4 linked regions of the Yarrowia lipolytica genome follow. The protein of the gene in region 3 binds, or shares a complex with, the protein of the main gene of each other region. Links are inferred from orthologs where the notes say so. Each region holds a gene or a part of one and is shown on either strand. Other genes may lie near its edges.

Region 1 (4,805 bases), on a different chromosome or scaffold from region 3:
CCGTCATTATCATGGAGGGAGGCATCATTTTCCATTCTGTTCTTGTCGGCGTTGCAGTCACAATTGCCGACGATGACGGCTTCATTTCTCTGTTCATCGCCATTCTGTTCCACCAGGCGTTCGAAGGTATCGGCCTTGGGTCTCGAATCGCCGGACTTCGTGACTCGTCTCTGTTCTTCAAAATGAGCATGTGCACCTATTTCACCATCATCACTCCCATCGGCATGGCTATTGGTCTCGGTGTCATGGACTCCATGAACTCCAACGACCCTGCCACCATTTGGGCCATTGGAACCATCTCGGCTCTGTCTGCTGGCGTGCTCATTTGGGCTGGAGTTGTGGAGATGTTGGCGTTCGACTGGCTGTTTGGAGATCTTTCTTTTGCACCCAAAAAGCGAGTCTTTTTCGCAATGTCGGGTCTGGTTGGAGGCATGATTTGTATGTCCCTCATCGGAAAGTGGGCCTAGTCCTTGCCAAAGGCGATATAATGATTAATGAATAGATAATACGATTTTATGAGTTGAGTAGAGAAGGATGGACAAGTGCGGAACTGAGAAATAGCTACGAGTGGTGGAGTATTGCGGTCCACTGAATAGTTGGAAGCAGCGTCATAACTCTGCATCCCATTTGGAATGAAGACGAGAGAAGTGACGATGTGATCTGTGAAGGTGAAGGGTCAGTTGATCACGCACAAATGATTAATTAGCAATTTGACATGGCATACAGTGCACTGACAATCAACAATATATCCACAGATAACAGTTAATACTTGCAAATGCCCATCTGACAGCCTACACTAATCGTACAATAAGACTCGCGGCAAGTTGGGCGCTCTGTAGCTCTGCTGCTACATCCACTGCACTCGCTGCTACACAGCTAGTACAGTTCGTCAATCGTTTCATCATATAACATACATAGTTCCTTCATCGACAGTGTTAGGTTGATACTGTCAATGCAGGGTTGTAGCTGGAGTTGCCGCTTATCTGGGACCAAGCTTGGCCAGGCATGCGGGGCCCTGCTCCTCCCACTCTTGTTTGGAGATCCACATGTGCTCCTTGTCATGCATAATGTTAGCAAGCACGGCACCTCCCAGGAAGACCATATGTCGTCGTCGAGGGGGGTCCTCAATTTTGACCTTGAAGTTGTTGAGTCGGGTGGGGTCGCCGTTAAGCACCCGGGTGAGCCACAGCTGCTTGAGCTCCTTCTCCATTCGGGATGGCAGACCGGGATACATGGACGAACCTCCAGACAACACAATGGCTTTGTACAGCGACGATCGCACATCAATGTCGGCGGCCTGGATAGTGTTGAACAGCGTCTCGGCGATTCCAGGCTGTTCCGAGTCGACCAGATGGGGCTGGAACAGACACTCGGGGGCCTCGAATCGCTCTGATCCCAGCTTGATGGTTCGGCCGTCAGGAAGTTCGTAGGTGTCGACCAGAGCAGTGGTTTCGTTGGCGAGCTTTGTGTCGAGGTCCAGGTCGTAGGAGACGTAGCAGAACTTCTCCTTGATCTGTCGCACGGTCTCGAAGTCGGCAGTTCGGTTGAAGGCGTATCCTCGTCGCAGTAGCAGAGCAATCAGCTGTCGGGTGACATCTCGACCAGCGACGTCCAGACGACGGGTCAGGTGGTTGAGCACCACAGACTCGTAGACAGGCACCACGTGGGTAACACCGTCTCCAGAGTCCACCACCACTCCTGACGACAGGCCCTGTGCGTACAGAGCCAGGACGGCCTGGATGGCTACATAAACGCCATTGAAGCCGTAGTGCTCAAACATGATCTCGCACATCTTTTCCCGGTTCTTGAGGGGGTTCATGGGAGGCTCTGTGAGCAGCACCTTTCGACCCCGGGTGTCAATCTTCATCTTGTCGTAAAACGAGTGGTTCCACAGGTGACCCATGTCTTCCCAGTTTCGAATCACTCCGTTCTCCATCGGGTACGAGATCTGCAGCATGTTTCGTGCCGCGGCAGCCTCGTCTCCACACATAATGTCCTTGATGGCCACGTCGCCGTATGTGTCTGTGGCCCGCTCTTCAGCCCGCAGAATGGGCCGACCCACCATCGACGGGAAGGTGTGTTCGGGGAAGTTGGTGCCTCCGTAGCCGATTTTCACAAAGCCGGTTCCTTGATCTAGCACAATTGGTTGTTCGCTCATATTCGCTCAGTGGTGTGGATGGAGGGTGGATGTCATGCACTGTCGAGAGCGCTGTATGCGGGAGTTTATTAGTCAGCCACCCTCGACGAGCCTGCAAAAAACCGTTGTTTTGTAGGCTGACATGGCCAGATGGATGTGACAATGCGACCAGTACACCCCAAATAGCTCAATTGGGTCTCTCTCTTACTAATTGCGTCTCAAACACGCCCTTCTATACACTTTCTTATCTCAACACCGAGCTCCAGCTCACCTCCCATCCCACCTCCGAATTGCTATCTCCATCTAGCCAGCCTGGACAACTTTATTTCCAGGCCGCGAAATGTCGGAGATGTTCAAATAGAGTAAAAAAGGGCAGAAAAACAGCTGAAAAAGGGTAAAAAAGAGCAGAAAAAGAAGCAGAAAAAGAGAAAAAAAAAAGAAGCATAAAAAATAATAAAAAATAATAAAAAAATAATAAAAAATAATAAAAAATAATAAAAAAAATAATAATAATAATAAAATAATAATAATAAATAATATAAATAATAATAAAAATAATAAAAATAAAAAAAAAAATAAAAAACAAAAAAAAAAAATAGTAATAGCTACGGCCCCCAGTCGGGGAACGCGGATACTGTACGCTTAAGGGTTGTGCTAATAAAACAATCTCCTCTTCACCCCACCATCCATATACAATGTACTCATACTAATACTCTTACATCCAGTACATACTGTTCACTCATGGTTGTAGCTTGTTGCAGTGCTACATCAACACTTATCTGAAACAAAACGACCAAAATACTTTGGTTGATCGCTTGATATTTATTATTACTAATGGAAAAATATTACTAATAGAAAAATGCCAAGAATTGCTCACGTTTTCTTTTAGTACCTGGCACGTAATAATCAATCAATAGTCAGACCTTGTTGAAAACATCACTTCCAAGACTCCGTATCTCCGAACTATAGAGGTGAGACAGTCATAGGCGTAATCAACCATCAAGTACATAACTAAACTTACAACAACCAGTGTGATGTACACACCTGCCCTCCACCAAAGCCATGTTATCATGCAATCATAATTCGTTATATAAATAGCTATATGCATATTTTTCAAGATGCTTTTCGTCCCCTCATTGTATATCGCCTACCGTGTCTCTGAGAAGTCTAAGGATTGTGCCGGCGCTGGTAGAACAACACATACGCATTCTTGTTAACAACGGCTCGCTCGTTCACGTTTCTGTTCACCACCGTATCGTCAAAGTAGCACCATCCGAGCTTGCCACGCTTGCAGAACGACGTGTAATGACCCCCGCGCAGCGTTCCGTAATGGTTGGCCACTCCAAACAGTGAGTACCGGAAAGGAGCCGTCTGGCCACGAGGAAGCAGCTTCTTCAAGAAGGGCTCGTCCTCCGATGTGGGCGGAGGCCAATACCGCGTGAGATCCATCTCCAGAGGGTACGTAACAAACGTGTTGAGCTTGTCTCCATAGCCCCGTGAGTGGTCGAACCGCTTGAGATGGATGATCAAAGTTTCTGGAAGCCGCGAGATCTTCATAGACTTGATAGTGGGCCGCGGCTTCTTGCACGTAGGGCACTGCCACATGTTTTCGCCCTCCAGCAACTCCGGCTGCGTAAACTGGTTGAAGCAGTCGTACAGCGTTGGGAGAGTGGCCCCAGCGTACTTGGGGATGGGCAGAGTTAGCGACGAGAATGCAGTGTATGTCGTCGACGTCATTTTGCACACAGTACACTGGAGCTTTGATTGGTACTGGCCCTGAAATTCGTCGACAATAAACGAAGACGCGGACTTGAGGTACCGCTCCCACTCCAGAGATGACACAATTCGAACACTCATCTCCTCTCGTCGCTTCTCCTCGCTCTCGGTCAGCTCACGGGGCTTGTATTGACCATCGCCCACAGAGTTGAGCTCCTCATGCAGGCCATCAAGAATGAAAGTCAAAAATTCCTGACAGTCATGCTGCTCCATGCCGCTGAACTGAGAGTTGACATGTGCAATGATTCCTTTGAAGGAAGTGGGGACCAAGTAAGGGTAAGCGTTCGCCACTAGAGCCTGCACGAGATCAGCATACTTGGCAATCAAAGCTCCCTTGTATCCCAGCTTTGACTTCATGTTGACTCGATGCTTGTATGCCTGATTCACAATGATCTTGGTCAGCTGCGATGTGGCAAGACACTGGATGATGCAGTTGATATAGCAGGTGTTTCCGAGGTTCTTGAGACCTGTGGTAAAGGTCAGAGACATGGGGGGAGGCGATCCGGACATGGGTGCAAGATGGGGCAGGTACGGCGACTGTGGGATAGGCTGGCGCACACTCTTGTAACTGGGGAACTCGCCATTGTGTTTTTCTTTTGGCGAATAAGCACTGGGCGGCTGTTTGATCGGTGAAGAGGCCGTATTCACCGACAACTGAGGAAGAGCATGGGAGTAATAGCCATGCGAAGACCGGGCAGCCTGGGCGGGCTGAGATACGCCGTGTGTGTGGTGCCTGGACTCCGGTAGGGGCTCGTTGAGATACGGATGACATGAGTACATTTGATTTTTGTACGAGCTGGGATCCGGCAACGACGTGGATGAAGATAGGGCCATTGATTGTGGGAGGTTGAGCGACGACGAAGACGACATTGCAGAGGGGGGTTTCGGAGGC
Region 2 (4,381 bases), on a different chromosome or scaffold from region 3:
AGCAGGAGCGACCCAATCTGGAGCGCCAGCAACTGGAGCGCCAGCGACAGCTGCAGGAGCAGGAACAGGTGGAGAGACAGCGACAGTTGCAAGACCAGCAGCTGGAGCGACAGAGACAGCAGCAGGAGCAGGAGCACAGACAGCGACAGCAGGAGCAGGAGAGACAGCGACAGCTGCAGCAACAGCAGCAACAGCAGGAATTCCAGCGCCAGCAAGAGTTCCAACGCCAAGAGCTGCAGCGTCAACAGGAGCTTAAACGACAGCAGGAGCTACAGCGTCAGCAGGACCTCCAGAGACAAGATCTTCAACGAAGTACCTACTCACCTTACATGCCTCCGCTGTCGCACACGCCTCCGCCACAGCAGAGCTCTCCCACTGGGTTTTCTCTGCCGCCCATCAACGCTCACACACCCCACGGGCCTCGGCAGACACTGCCGCCCTTGCCGATTCTGCAGCGGCCTTCGAAGACGTCGTCGATCACGTCGATTCTCAATGGCGATTCAAAGCCGAGTGGAGGACGTCCTGGAGGAATCACCCTGCCGCCTCTCAATGCCATGGCGGGTCCTCCTTCGGGTGCTCCCGGCGCGCCCGGCGCTCCCGGCACTCCCGGAGCTCCTCCAGGCATGTATCCTCCACGACAGCAGTCACCCCCAGGACCTTATCCACCTTATTGGCAGTAGAGAGGGGAGAGGAGGACACGAAGGACGGAAGGATAGCATGGATAAAGCGTGTTTATTTATATGTATTATATGAAGATTTAATTGAGTTGAGTGTAGGCGCTTGACAATGACTACTTGCAATTAGCACGGGTGCCTATGGCAACATCCCTACTGTATGTTGTAGTCTATCGCCACTTGTCATATTCAAAGTGTGAGAAAGATAAAACAAATAGACTGTATAGACTGGATCAATACAAGTACAAGCACACAGTACGAGTACGTAAAAGTACGAAAAAGTACGAGTACAATGTACATACTGATACACAGTGACAATACATTATTATACATACATACAGTTCATCCATACGACCAGCTCCTACAAAGTTACCTTATCATATCATTCATTAGTTACATTGTGTATCCAGGGCTTTAGTTTGTGCTCTGATGCACCTCTTCCTTCAGCTGTTTGGTGGAGATTCATCACCGGAGTTGCTTGTGTTTGTTCACCGCTCATACATTACCCGGCTGTGCCTAGTAATTCATTCGCTTACAAACTCTTGTTCATAAAATGCCTTCTGGTGAAAGCCAACCAGTACTTGTTGGGCTTGGAAGGGTCGTCCTTGTAGATCTTCTCAATCAGACGCTTTGCCAGCTCCTGTCTGAATTGCATCAGGTAGCCTCGCAGCAGTTCGACCTCATTTCGGTCTCGGGGAGGGGCGTAGAGAGAGTTCAGTGGGAAGCCGGCGTCTCCGGGAATGGAAAAGTGTTCCACAGCAGCAGTGTTCAGCAACTTGTTGGCCTCGTTGGCAGAAGTGGTAGGCTTGAGCTTTCCCAGACACTCGGACACAAAGAGAATGCCGTAAATGAGAGCCCGGTCGGCAGGGCCCTTGATCTCAAAGTTCTTAAAGAATGAGTTTGCTCGGAACAGATCCAGCACCTCGTCGATGATGTCGTAGTCGGCGTTGCTGGGGTAACTGGGGCCTCGGAATGACGTTTTGATGGGGAGGATAGCGAAATTGCCCACTACCCGGGTGTCCTGGTCCTCGCCGAGAAATGTACTGTTCAGAGCTGGCATTTTTGTGTCTGGTTGGATGTGTTAACGTTGGTGATGCGTTGGTAATGACAGGTTTGGGTGTGATGAGGTGGAGATAGCTGGTGAACTCTAATAATGGCGCAGTTAGAGGTGAAATTGCAAGGAATGGTGGGAGGTGAGATTTTGGTGACCGGAGGTAGGTGGATTGATGGAATGTCATAAGCCGATTCAATTGAGTGAATTGGAAATGTTTCGACCATGAATTCCGCTGATTACGAAGCGAACATTCGGAGGAAGGGGGTGCGGGTTGCTTCAGTAACATACTTGGATTTTACTTGGATGGCACTTGAGTTTGTTTTCTCAAATCACTCCCTCAGTTGATTGAACTTCAGATTTACTGTACCGTAGCTACTGTGTCAGATAAAGGTGTGACCGACTGTAGTGCCAGCCGGGTTGACTTGCGGGGAACCGGAGTTAAGAGAGTTCATTATCACACCCTGGTACAAGTACAAGTAGCCGATGTTCGTATTACAGTAGTAAGTGTCTCAATGTCAATACCGTAATGGCTATAATCGGGGAGGGGACGAGGATCATTCTGTAGGACACATGCCTACAATACAGTTGCACCTATCGTAGGTACAAGCAAGCTGTGTGGCAAGTGCGAGCGAACAGTTATTGAGTTAACAATTGAGTGGTTATCGTGCTTGAAGTTGAAAGGAATTGTTATCTACTTGTGGCTACACAAGGCACTATTTTCGGCTTCCAGCCACTCCCTTGCTCAACTGCTACAGGACCATCGGCTGACGGTCTTGAGTCTTCCGTGTTTATTGCTTTTTGGACTACTGTACCCCTGTGCTTATTAAGGACAAATGAGGTTAAGTGATGGACTGCATACGACGGACATAGTGAATATGACCGACAATGGTGGGTCAGAGAGGGGTACTTTTGGGTAGAAAGGTGACAGTAAAAGCCAGCAAATAGTTCATCACAGGCTATTATGACACACTGGAGGTGTTTGGACTTCTTCATCATCTCTCCAAAAAAGTATCTCGAGTACTCATACAAAGGTCTGCTCTTGTACAGTCTTCCCCAACCCTATTTTCTGACGTTTTCGGCAGTCCTATAAATGCCGAAAAAAAAGACAGATTTTCACGAGAAAAAAGACCACCGGTTCACCACATTGTAGCAAGTAATATAGACCGTACCGACCGGGTCAAGTTGCATGCGTCTCCCTCATAGCGCTCCATTTATTCCCCCCACACTAATACCGCAGGTGACTAAGCAACCTAAAGTTGGCACCACACAAACACAGCCTCGTGCGTCTTAGGGTACAGTACTACACTTTTTCAGAGCCCGCCAATCTCTACACCAGTTGTTGTTTGCACGACACAACGCCCCAAGAGACACACAACTAGTCACACTCGACCCAGGGCAGCTCAAATGGCGCAGGACGTGTTGGATATTCCTTTTACCGATATTCCGTCGATGCAGGTGAGTAGATGAGACATGAGGAGAAACCCTGATAGACACAGGCAATGGGTGATATGGACAGAAAGGAGACTGATGTGAACACAGAACCAGTGGCAAGCGAGACACAGACAGGCAGAAGAAGAGACCTAGAATTAGAAGCATCGACATGGCTCATATCCCAACAGTACAAGCGGTGTTCCTATCGTACCGCGCAGTTACACAGATGAGCGGATGGTTTAAGGGTGACGTGAAGGATATATTCAGATGAGATTGCTGTGGAATGTGCAGTAATTTCATTTGGTGAATGTTCACGACTGTACTGTTCCTATGGCGACATTTTAGCGACACTGTTTGACGTGGTTTGAGGGGAACCAAGGCGTACCAACGCATCGCACGACACATCACGACGTGGTGTAGAGCATACATGACGACACACTTAGGGCAAATCAAACCTACATCGACTCTAAGAATCGCCATATACAAATTATCACAGCCCATTCTTCTGCTCCACTAGCTACATCTCGTTGTCCGCCCTCGACTTTCGGACCCTCACACCTGTTGCTCCCGTATACTAACCAAGCGCATCCCCGCCTCGCGGTCCATGCAAAACCTCAACGAGCGGTATGAACAAGGCCAAGCCCCTCCCCAGGGCCAGACCAAACAGCCCCCCATGCAGCCCTCGCATCATGCCAATCCCCCACCCCAGCATCACCAGCAGCCACAGCAACACATGCCACCGCGACATTACCCGACCAACCGGCCACAGCCCGGACAGGCCCAGCAGCAGTCGCCGAGACAGTACCCGCAAGGCCAGCCTCAGGGACACACGGGCCAGACCCAGTATCCTTACGCTGTAGGACGACAGGGACAGCAGGCTCCTCCTCAGCATGCTTCCCAGCAGGTGCCCCAGCATGTTCCCCACGCGCCTCCCCAGCAGCACCACGGTCCTCCCCCGCAGAATCATGTTCCTCAGCTGCAGCACGGTCCTCCGCAACATGCTCCGCAACATGTTCCACCCCCGCATCAGCAGCAATACTCGCCTCAGAAGCACCCTCAGGGCGGCCAGGTCCAGGGAGGAAACATGCCCCCAACAAGTATGGGCCAGGGAATGACTCCTGGAGCACCGCAATACGGTGGCCAGCAGTTCTCACGACAGCAACAACCGCCACAGATCCAGACCCAGGCTAACCCTTACCACATTTCCCGGCGACCCCAGATG
Region 3 (5,962 bases):
CCGTTTTTGTGTCGTCTTCAAAATTCTTCTCAGACGTTGTAAATGTCACCGAAAATGTCAAGAGTGGTCGTGCATACCCCACGATATGAAACCTTAATCAGAGTACGAGATGATGAGTCATCGGAGGTGGTTTAGAGAGCATGCACGTGACCGAAGAAGGGACGGGGTGTCCACATTACTGCCGAATCAGTAGGTCACGTGGTAATGCCTCCGTTTTTGTTGTTCCTCGCTGTCCGGGCGCGAGCGCTAGCTACCGGCTTAGTCACTATCAAATCATCGACCAAATAAATATAATATTTAACGTTTGACTAAGCGGGCCTCTGTCAAACGACAATTAAAATTCAGAGGGATTGGTGGGAGATAAGAATGCGGCGTGGGGCTTGAAGACAGAGGCAGACTTATGTAATCGGGGGATTGAGGAAATCGGTGCGTCGAGAGAACGGAGAACAATATTACTAAGATTTTTGGTGGTTTTTATTTGCAAATATGTGTTTATTTGTTTATTTATTTATTTGTTTATTTGTTTATTTATTTGTTTATTTTTTGTTTATTTGTTTATTTTTTTTTTATTATTCTCTCTTTAAAAATATAATATTATTACTTTAATATTTAGCTAGTCCAAACTGTATCTGCTCGTATAATTGACTCAGAAACGCAGTTGAAACGGAGTGGATAAGACGTGTCCGGACTAGTCTGAGTATTACAGGAATTAATGGTGCTGACTAAAGATGACTACTGCATATTGTGGTGGATCTGAAAATGGAAATGTTTGTGAATATCTCAAGGGGGAGTGCTTTTTTAAACCAAACAAGAGTTGTCCCATTGTGTTCAGGAAGAAGCAGAATGACTAAGCAAAATAAGCACTATTCTGATTAAGCAGAGAATGCATGGAGCGCTCTTTTCACCATTATGACTCTCATCTGTCTTTTTAATGGCCATGAGTGATATTGCAGTACTTGTACTTGTAACCATATCGGAGACATGATACCTGGCCATTAAAAGTACGGCTCGGACTTTTCATTAAACATCGTTACGCTATATAGTTACAGTACAGGTGAGTACAGGTTAGTCGAACTGTGTTAGTAAAGAGAGAAGGGAAGGTCATTGTGAGGTCATTGAGCATAGCGGAATGTGAAGATGTGGTAAGCAGTTCTGAACAGTCCTGCTCCTCAGACACTCAGATCATACATCTCCAACCACATTGCTGAAACTCAAACTGTCAGACTACCATCAACGAGTAACTCGAAAATGATAGTCCCACTGTCAGAGTTCTCACAATGATCAAATATCACTCGTGTTTTGAACTCTTGATCATTCGTTGCGCTCATGATCTGGTCATTTACAAGTAGCTCGCTACGCTCACTAGTTGATCTGTACTCACCGCAACCAAATAACTCTCTGCGATAAATCGCGCTCTGGCATTGAGCACCAGCTTCATCTCACTGATCTCCTTGTCGACCACCTCCATAAACTCAATGATAAAGTCCACCAGCTTGTGCTTGAGCATGGTCTCGGTGTGGAAGTTTGTGATGAGGAACGAAATGCTGTATCCAGGCACGGGTTTTCGTCGCAGAATGTAGAAAGACTCGGCTCGGCCGGTCAGGAACCGCGTGAACTGGTGCACGAGAATCCGTTCAATCTCGTCCGCCTGCTTGATTCGAATCGACACTCGCACCGAGTTGATGGATGGCTCGATCAGCACCATTTCGTTTTCGTTTCGCGCAATGGTCATAGGGTTGAGCAGCGCCTCAGCTGACTTGCCGGACTCCACCTCGGGCACATTGTGTCGCTCTGCCACCTGCGAGCCAAAGTCTTCCAGACAGAGGGCTGCTGTGAGAGAGGTACGTACGGCAAGAAGGTAGGGTCGGAGGGATTGGGACTGGGTTAGCGCATGTCACAATAGATGCGTAGAGCGATTCAAAAAAAAAGTCGCTGAGTGAGGTGACCTGTTTCAAGGTGTCTTCAACGGAGTTTAGATGCGAACTATGACACTCGATGTAGGATCCCAACAATCATGTTACACCGGGAGAGGCGGAGAGCCGGGAGAGCTGCAAGGTGATGACTAGGTCCACCACAGGGGCCAACTTGGCAGATGAACACATCGACAGACACCGGCGCTGACGAGTTCAGAGATGTCGACGGTAGAAGTCAACAGGGTAGAACTCAACAGTGGCAGTCATAGTCTTTTAGGGTCACCGGACGTCATTAAGGGTGACTGGAGGAGTCATCGGAGTAGTCATCGGAGGAGTCATAGGAGGTATTGAAACAGTCACCACTGGGTCATTGAAGGAGTCATCATCTCTGACGACTCAGAGCCAGCCAACTATGAGCAAGTGACAGTAGAGCGATCAGAACGACGCTAGCGGACACACCTGAGTATCGCGCGCACTGGTAGAGTGCAGATCGGTGCAAGTGGTCGGTGGGGAAAGTGAGGGAGGGGGAGGAGGTGACCGTCAACGGCATAGTCAGGGTATCATCAGGAAGCGCTCTGTGTCGTAATTGCCGTAGCTGTCGTTGTCGTTGTCGTTGTCGCAATGGCGGTCGCAGTGTCATATCTCAAGACAGACACTCTAAGCACAGAAGCACCGTAGAGTCACTCGAAGTAGCCAGAACTCGTCATAGTCAACTGGAGCCCGCAAAAGGACATGTTGCTGGTATATGTAGTGAAAGACATGTTCAACGTAGTGGCCACTTGAACTCCACTGTCGACAGAACTAGACAATCATCAGAATGAACCAACAGCGATGACTGAACCACCACATCCCATCCGGCTCATTAACTATAGTCGACTCATTGACCCACTGAATTATGGCGCACAACACACTCAATCTCACCAACAAGATGGATCAAAACAACTCATCTGGAGCCATCAGTCAATCGGAACTCGCCACGTCATCAGAGACCCAACAGACACAGATCCGCTCGCCACAAAATGACATAAATGCGCTCATCAAAAACCCCCGTAGCTCGGCAAAGGACATAGAACCCATGAGCCTCTGGTCCCTCCTCAAATCCCCCGGCTCCATCCCCTCAAATCCCCCGGCTCCATACCCTAAACAATCAATGACCCTAACACTCATTTTGTCGTATTTTGCGCATCGAAAATCGCCCTTTTCGCCCCCTTTCGCTATACTCACCATCTCGGTCGGGTCGGTTGCGCTATTAGTCGTGCGTATGTAGAGGTACCGTATGCATCTCCAGAGTATTATTAGGTGGTGATTGGGAACCCTAACCCTGGATTTTGGGGTGGCATTTTCGAGGAATATTTGGGAGCGGAGTCGGTGTGAGTAAGGAATATTACAGGAAATAAATCCGTTTTAAAAATTCAATTAGATAAAAAAAGGAGTATATTGAGGTATATCTTGATGGATATTTGAGATATATTGAAATGGAGAGAATTAATGGATTCCCCCCTTCATGGGCTTTCATACCAAGATGATGACACATTTGTTTTTTTTTGTCAATTTTTTTGAGGTCTTAATACCATCTATCGTCTCACAGTTTTGTTTTTTTGAAAAAAAAATATCTATATATATTTATAAATAGCATTTTTAATCTATATATTTTTAGTTTTCAATGGAATAATTTAGTTGGGGATTTAATCCGTAATTTTTTTATTTTTTTTAATTTAGTTGACTTAGATGGGTAAACAGAGAACCTTCCAGATGCTGGAGTTTTGGTTGAGAACATTGGTAGAGTGACTACTTATGTTATCACGTGACATATTTTGATTATTTTCTCTTTTCTTTATATAAACGAATTTTGATTTTAATTCAATTATTTTTCAATTTCCTTTTAATTTAATTTTAATTCAATTTTAATTCAACCAAACAATTTTTTATCCATTTTTCAATTCTTCTTCTTCATTCCTCCAACTACTTACAATTTTCTTTATCATTTTCCATTTATCAACTAATTGGTTTTCTCATTAAAGTTCAACTCTATCTACTCACCCTCCTAATATCCAACATCACCCAGCTCCATCACCACAAAATGACCTGGCAAGAACACAAGGCGGAGGACGGACGAACGTACTACTTCGACCCGGAAACGCAAAACTCGACGTGGGACAAGCCCGAGGAGCTCTTCACGGAGCGCGAAATCGCCCTCAAACGCACAAACTGGAAGGAATACACCGCCGAGGGAGGCCGCAAATACTGGTTCAACACCGAGTCCAAGGAAAGTGTGTGGGTGTTTCCCGCAGATGCCGAAGCGATTCTTCAGGGAGAAGCGGCGGCCGATGAGTCGATTCCCAAAGAACCCCGAGAGGTGCGAGAACAGCGTGGTCGAGAAAAACGAGAGGAACATTTACCGTCTCTGAGCTCGATTGCGCCGGATAATGTGCAGCAGCAGTTCAAGGGAGGCAGTTCCGAGGAGATTGAGGCGTCTTACAAACAGCTGATGGCCGACAAGGAGGTCGACAGTAGCTGGACGGTTCAGAAGCTGATGAAAGAGTGTCTTGAAGACCCCCGATACTGGGCTGTGCGAGACGCTCTGAGACGGCGGGAACTGTTTGAGGAGTTTCTGACCGAGATTGAGCAGAAGGAGGTCCAGGAGACGTTGGATAAACGCCTGGAGTACCAGCAGAGAGTCTATGATTTGTTTGAACAGTCCAACAAGATTGGGCCGTATTCTCGCTGGATCAGCGTGGAAGAAGAGTTCCGCGACGACCCACTGTTCCACACAGGTCACGTGGACGACCGTAAACTGGCGCTCGCAAAATATGTCCGTTTTTTGAACGAACAGGAGCAGAAAAAAACCGCCGAGATCAAGGCCGCCGGAAAACAATTTCTCAAGTCCGTGCTGCAAATCGACATTGTCAAATCTACCTGGAACGATACCCTGAGAGATATCAAGTCGAGATCGGCGGAACTTGCTGCCGAGAGGCCGGAAATGCGACTGCTCAACAAGATGGACTTGCTGGACGTCTATTCAAAGACAATCGAAGAGAAGGAAGCCGAGTTGGTGGAACAGATTGAACAGAAATCCGCCGTCGCTGCCAGACAGGCCAGAATAGCCCGCCAACAGTTTGTCAAACTGCTCTCCGAACAGGTCGACAAGGGCCATATCGTCTACACCACCAAATGGAAGGAGCTGGTGGACTACATCAAGGACGATGTGCGATTCCAGAACCTGTGTGGAATCAGACACTCATCCACACCGCTGGACCTCTTCTGGGACGTGATTGAGGTCGAAAACAGACGGGTCCGAAACCTGAGGACCATCGCCCAGGGATATCTGACAAGCGAGGGCAAAAATATCGACAGCCTGACCCTCGACGAATTTGGCCACCTGATCGCAGCGTGCTCGGACTACACCACCAATCTCGAACATCCTCGGTACACCCAGCAGGTCTACAATGCTCTCAAGGACTCGGATTTCGAAATCGACCGGTTTGCTTCAGATCGAAAGCTGCGACGACTTCAGGACGACTTCCGGTACGCCCTGAGAGACATGGAGCCGGTCATCCAGGTGTCGGACACGTGGGATGCGGTAAGAAGAGTGGCCGACCGACTGCCGGAAGCAAAGGGACTCAGTGCGGTGCAGAGAGAAGCGGCGTTCGACAAGTACATCGCCAGATTGAGGGACAGGCCGAGAGGAAGAGTGGGTAGAGATAGAGACGTGAGGGGAGGCGGAGAAAGGGAGCGGGGTGATAGAGGCGAGAGAGGGGACAAGAGAGGCGTTTCTCTGGATTATTAGAGAACAAACTGGAATTCATGCCTGACGAGTAATTTTGTTTGTGATGGTGGTCCCTGATGTCCCTGATGCAGCCGTCTGGCACCTCCACAGCTGTAATATATATCCATAATGAACATGTAATAAGCAATCGTGGAAGATTAAGTGAATTGGTCTGAATCTCATATTATTGAGCAGTAGTGCACGGACTGTGGTCTTACATGTTCGACTGTGAGTCAAGACCCCGAAACCCCAGTCACAGCACCGGGCCATCATGTAGGGATAC
Region 4 (5,415 bases), on a different chromosome or scaffold from region 3:
TCCTACCGAATGGAACGAGTGGGTCCAGGAGCAGAACCAGAAGCTTTCTGCCGGTCAGAACACTGGTTTTGTTGTCGACTCGCACGTCTACAAGGCCTTCTCCGAGCAGGACAAGGGCAACTCTCCCCAGCAGAACATTGCCAACGTTCCCGCCTACCTCAATGTTGGAAAGGCCCAGGCTGATTCTATTGTCGGCGAGTTCTCCTGTGTCTTCTCCGAGGAGACCTGGGCTAAGGCCGGCGGTGAGGACCGAGAGCAGCTTGCCATCAAGTACGGCCAGGTTCAAATTGAGTCCTTCAACCAGAATGCCCGAGCCGGATGGTTCTTCTGGACTTACAAGTTCCAGTACGGCGATGGAGGCGATTGGGGCTTCAAACCCATGACCCAGAAGGGCGCCCTCCCGACCTTCTCCAACGGAGGCTCCAACAAGGATCCCAAGGCCGGCATCAAGGAGGCAGCCACCAAGGCTACCGAGGAGCACTCTGCCTACTGGGACCAGCATCAGGGTAACTACGAGCACTGGCGATACGCCGATGGATACGTTTCGGGATGGCAGGACGCTGCCGCCTTCTACGAGTTCCACGGCTCCACCATTGGCCGAATCAACGCCTGGCAGGACGCCCGACGAGCCCAGCACATTGCTGCTAAGGGTAACTCCGGTGCCATCTGGGAGTGGGACCAGGGCTTCGACGCTGGTATTCAGGGTCTGCTCAACTACATGCGATCTTAAGCAGATCGCTAGGGCCACTTCAAAACACTTTACGACTCTACAATCACGACTTTTCACAACCACATTCTTCTCTGACTTTCACGGTCTATCGATTGGTAGATCTCTATTTATTCTTTAGCATTTTCTGAATACATTTATTAGATATAATTACACACAGACAGTAGCTTCAAGTAGCGACCAGTAGCAGTAGCAATAACAGCAGACAGGAGCAACGGAGTAGGAAAAGCCACAATAACCACAACGTGCTGCCATTGGCTTGTGCACCAACGTCAACTGCACTATTATCTCGGATATTACGCACTCTTGGCACAGGACACTACGTAATACGTAGGGTCATTGGCTCTTGAGACGAGAATTCTTTCATCAGTATTCTTATAATTAATTATCAACATAGTGTACACATAGCCTTCTATAGTACACCCAACATTTCTACCAACTCACCTCGTGTATCATGACACTGGGCTGGATCAATCGTTATATCATAAATGTACACTACATACAATCCCTAGACCATGGAAAACAGAGAAAAGTTTCGCACAATACCAGGTCCCATCTCGTCGTAATCCTGCTTGGTGTAGCAGTAGTTCTTGAACTCGGGAGTAGAAGACAGCAGAGATCCTCCATACCATACAGCGTTTCGCTGCTTGGAGTGTGAGATGACCTTCACATCGACTCCCGAAGACTTGACTCCGGTCGCCCGCTGGTTAGCAGCAAGTCGATCGTCAGCAAGAGTTCGAATGTCTCGCTGCAGACGTCGGCCGAAATCCTTGAACATGGTTGATCCTCCAGACAGAACAATGTTCTTGTAGAGACCTCGTCGCACATCAATGGGCGAGGACTGGACCACGGTGTCGACCACCTCGGACAGAGGGGTCAGGAAGTCGGACGAGGCAATTTCGGGATTGAAGAAGATCTCAGGGGCCAAAAATCGCTCGTATCCAACATCCACGGTGGCTCGTCGATGCAGACCCTGGTCGGCCATGTACTTTTGGAATCGGTCAGGGTCGTTGTCGAATCGGTTGAACTCCTTGACAATGTCCGGACACACATAACAGTAGTTCTCCTTGATCTGCTCTGCGGTCTTGAGCGACGTGTCGGGCTCGTTTCGGTCTCGAAGCATGTTCTGAATGAAGTAGGTGATGTCTCGGCCCGCAATGGGGATGGACTTGATGGCCGAGCCGATAACGTAACCCTCGGCGACAGGGATCACGTGGGTGACACCGTCTCCGGAGTCGATGACGGTTCCGGTCAGAGATCGATCAGTCACCTTGTTGGAAGTCCAAGATGCGGCCAGAGCCAGGACAGCCTGTACGGCAATGTAGAGACCGGCACAGTTGAAAGACTCAAACATGATCTCGGCGGTGTTTTCTCGGTTCTCGGGGGGATTGAGAGGAGGCTCAGTTAGCAGGAAATGATGATCTTCGGGCTCGCATCGCAAGTATTTGAAAATCGAGTTCTCCCAGAACCGCTCCATGTGATCCCAGTTTTCAATCTGACCGTGTCGAATGGGATAGTTGACCGAGTAGGCAGGGCCGTTGGCGGCGGCGAGGGCCTCGTCGCCAATGTAAAAGTCGAGGTCTTCGGTACCCTTACGACTGATGTTGCCGCCGGAAGATCCTTTGGCGGTGGCAATCACTGTAGGGAAGACGAAAGAGGGGGCATCGTTACCGGCAAAACCGAGTTTTGTGTAACCGGTACCGCTGTAGTTAGTATATGTTTGGTCGTGGGTGGGCTGGGATGAATGACAGGCTATGGTGTTGATGTTGCCTTTCACACCACACAATCACATATCAATGTGGGGTATCGGGTTTGCGTAGATGATACAAAGAGGACTTGAAACAAATATGACGGGTTATGTTTTCTCTGATGATATGATAACATAATCTTAGTGTAGCCACTGATCGCTTCCGTTGCTGTATGTTTCTGACTGTATCGTTATGTCGTTGTGTCTTCGTCGATGTAGATGTCGATGTATCAATATCGACATGCGGCCTGTGTCCAAAGATCGATTGAAGAACCATAGTTGGTTATGACATTCCACAACAGCCATCATCGTCTGTCAGCACTCTCTTGTTCCTTCTCATTTCTCTCATTCTCATTCTGTTCATCATCACCATCATCCCACAGCATAACCCTCATCACCTCTCCAAAATGTCTCAATGGAGATAAACCACTGAATTACTCACTTGTCTGAAGTTAGTAGAGTCCCCTTGAAAATCCTGCCGTGTCCATCCAGTCACGCGATACTCACCCATGACAACCGCAGGGGTTCCCAGATGCGCCATTGTTGCTCAATTGATTTTTTGTTAGCAGATGATGCTCAAGGGCTGGTGTCGGGATGTATGTGCTGTAACTGACAAGCAGTGTTGCGGCATATAGAGTTACCCGGTAGTGGCCACCTGTAATTTGGGTGTGCGGTGCGAAGTGGGAGGACCGGAGATAATGCGTGTTTAGTGCAGTCTGATATGGTGCAGTGACATGTCCGAAATATCATGTGATTGCTTTCAAGTGAACTAGGGAGGAGTGATAGTTGACATTCAGAAGATCTGTCGTCAATTTATTGCTTTTTTTGTGTACTTCATGGTCTATGATTGACCCATGGTTGCTTCTGGGGTGATCCACCGCTTAATAATCCACGATAGAGACGCAAGATAGAAACGCACAGGTTGAGCACCGGGATGGAAAATAGGTATACGTTGATAGGAAAGTCATCAGGGGGAGCACTGGAATCAGGAAGATGTATTTTTTTCTCTTGAATTGGTTCCTAGTGTGATTGGAACATTGATTGAATCATGGCACCAAGACCACGGGACTTGGTTAGGATTACTTTGGTGTGAAAAAGTTTAGTTGGAATGACACTTATTAAATGTTTATTATTCTTCTAATACCCAAGTGGTCTAATTGGGTGGTGGTCGACGACTGTTGGTCTCAAAAGACACAGTATGACGGATACACCACTTTCAACGGTATGAAAAGTATACACCATACACACAAGTTGGTAGCAATTTGTCAGCTGTGAATATAATAATGGCACACGTCTTTTTGCACTACTGTGTGTACTGTATTCCCTTTGAGAAGATGGAGGTTACTGTTTCTACAGTTAGTTAGGCGGATCATGTATCACTCTGAGAGAGCTCGATAAGTATGACATAAAATGCAGTTTTGTTGGTTTGTCATATCTAACGCATTTATATGCATGGAAAGGACCTTCTATCTCACTTTTCGTACATACTGTATACTGTACTTGTATCCCACCAGCTTCACCCTTTAACGATTGACCCAAGTATTGGCGTATCCCAGTTGGCTTCTTAGTTTAACTCTGAAGGGTCTCTGCCTCATGTATTGAAGGAGAAAGACTGCTCCCGCCATACCTCAAATGTACTTGTAGCTTTTCCATGTCGGCCTTCAGTATACTCTCGTACTTGTACTGCTGTTCATCTTTATAACCATCAAACTTTTCCTATCCACGTGTACCGGCTCTTGTAGGTACAAGTGTGTTTTTCCACGGCTAAAAGACCAATAACACCTATGTGTATCGTCTTTCACAACAGTCAGTTCACTGTCTCAGTTTCACGAACCATTTTTTTATTTTTTTTTGGTTCTCTCGCTCTTGTAATTTGCATGCAACACATTCACACGGCTATAAATAGGAACTACTTGTAGTGGAGACAACTGAAAACACTCGAGAGGAGACGACGATATAGAAGACCGCTAAAGTCATTGATACAGGAGCTACCAGGAATTTATTTCGCCAAACTGACTCTGACATACTGAAAAATTCACCTATCATGTTTGTTAGTCTCAATATTCATTCTCCGACCACGACTAGTGTGGCGTATATACTAAAACACTTGTTACGTGTGACACCAAACATACGCCTAATTACCAGATGGTGTACAGCGAAGAACACTAAATACGAGGGTTGGAGAGCCATAAAAACAACGGAAGACCCAGGAAAGTCTTCTATATATATATGTCTGGAAAATACCTCTCAGATTTTTACGGCTCCAAACGTCACCCAACAGCCATAACATAAGTACAAGTACTCGTATTGTACGACTCGTACAGATATGCGTTTCATGTTTCAGATCCACGCGTAGCCACACAGACACAACTTTGGGAGCGCTAAGGTTTTTATGAAGCAGTGCCCACTTGGATCGACAAGGAGGGTTCGATGTGGAGATAGAATGACAGAGGGGGACCGTTTGGGGAAATTCTGGGTTATTGTAATCAATTTCAACCCTTTGTAACAGTAGAACTCGCTGTAAAATTGGCACATTTCCACTTGTATCACTTTTACACGCGCTCCCCCTTTTTCTTACCTAGGGGCTCTGGACTATGTGAACACAGGGAAATTATCTGCCGAGTTTAACCTTGGGTAGTAGGTGGGTATGCACTATGGTGCACAGGTGGGTGAGATGTTGAGACCAACCACTTGGAGCCTCATCGCTGGGGCTGTTTGAGGACAGAGGACAAACCGAACCACCCGGAGCATAATTTTTGCATACAACAACCCCTTCGACTGTCCATCTTCCAACACCGACTCAGACACAAGTCGACATCGACTCTGCATCAGCATTACATCATCGGACTGACAACGGACAACGAGAGAGTGACTATTTGTAAGACTGCTCTTGGCGATACAAACAACTTCACAAGAGGACAATACAGACAAGATAGACGGC

What was found.
Region 1: YALI1_D03575g (region 3) and YALI1_F20712g share a complex: the UniProt entries of both Saccharomyces cerevisiae proteins name them as parts of the arp2/3 complex. The link is inferred for Yarrowia lipolytica from reciprocal best matches to the Saccharomyces cerevisiae genes ARC19 and ARP2.
Region 2: YALI1_D03575g (region 3) and YALI1_B26451g share a complex: the UniProt entries of both Saccharomyces cerevisiae proteins name them as parts of the arp2/3 complex. The link is inferred for Yarrowia lipolytica from reciprocal best matches to the Saccharomyces cerevisiae genes ARC19 and ARC18.
Region 4: YALI1_D03575g (region 3) and YALI1_E40540g share a complex: the UniProt entries of both Saccharomyces cerevisiae proteins name them as parts of the arp2/3 complex. The link is inferred for Yarrowia lipolytica from reciprocal best matches to the Saccharomyces cerevisiae genes ARC19 and ARP3.

Annotation. Positions count from the first base shown.
Region 1 is NC_090775.1:2,068,594-2,073,398, reverse strand, and holds YALI1_F20712g (uncharacterized protein), read right to left. Parts: upstream 2,159-4,805; coding exon 980-2,158; downstream 1-979. Other genes in the region: YALI1_F20742g (uncharacterized protein), read left to right, coding at 1-467; YALI1_F20669g (uncharacterized protein), read right to left, coding at 3,305-4,805. UniProt on the Saccharomyces cerevisiae protein: Functions as ATP-binding component of the Arp2/3 complex which is involved in regulation of actin polymerization and together with an activating nucleation-promoting factor (NPF) mediates the formation of branched actin networks.
Region 2 is NC_090771.1:2,642,430-2,646,810, reverse strand, and holds YALI1_B26451g (uncharacterized protein), read right to left. Parts: upstream 1,735-4,381; coding exon 1,207-1,734; downstream 1-1,206. Other genes in the region: YALI1_B26517g (uncharacterized protein), read left to right, coding at 1-680; YALI1_B26430g (uncharacterized protein), read left to right, coding at 3,133-3,183, 3,743-4,381. UniProt on the Saccharomyces cerevisiae protein: Functions as a component of the Arp2/3 complex which is involved in regulation of actin polymerization and together with an activating nucleation-promoting factor (NPF) mediates the formation of branched actin networks.
Region 3 is NC_090773.1:356,493-362,454, forward strand, and holds YALI1_D03575g (uncharacterized protein), read right to left. Parts: upstream 3,141-5,962; coding exon 3,139-3,140; intron 1,881-3,138; coding exon 1,383-1,880; intron 1,076-1,382; coding exon 1,066-1,075; downstream 1-1,065. Other genes in the region: YALI1_D03604g (uncharacterized protein), read left to right, coding at 3,994-5,700. UniProt on the Saccharomyces cerevisiae protein: Functions as actin-binding component of the Arp2/3 complex which is involved in regulation of actin polymerization and together with an activating nucleation-promoting factor (NPF) mediates the formation of branched actin networks.
Region 4 is NC_090774.1:4,051,548-4,056,962, forward strand, and holds YALI1_E40540g (uncharacterized protein), read right to left. Parts: upstream 3,016-5,415; coding exon 2,982-3,015; intron 2,435-2,981; coding exon 1,236-2,434; downstream 1-1,235. Other genes in the region: YALI1_E40502g (uncharacterized protein), read left to right, coding at 1-730. UniProt on the Saccharomyces cerevisiae protein: Functions as ATP-binding component of the Arp2/3 complex which is involved in regulation of actin polymerization and together with an activating nucleation-promoting factor (NPF) mediates the formation of branched actin networks.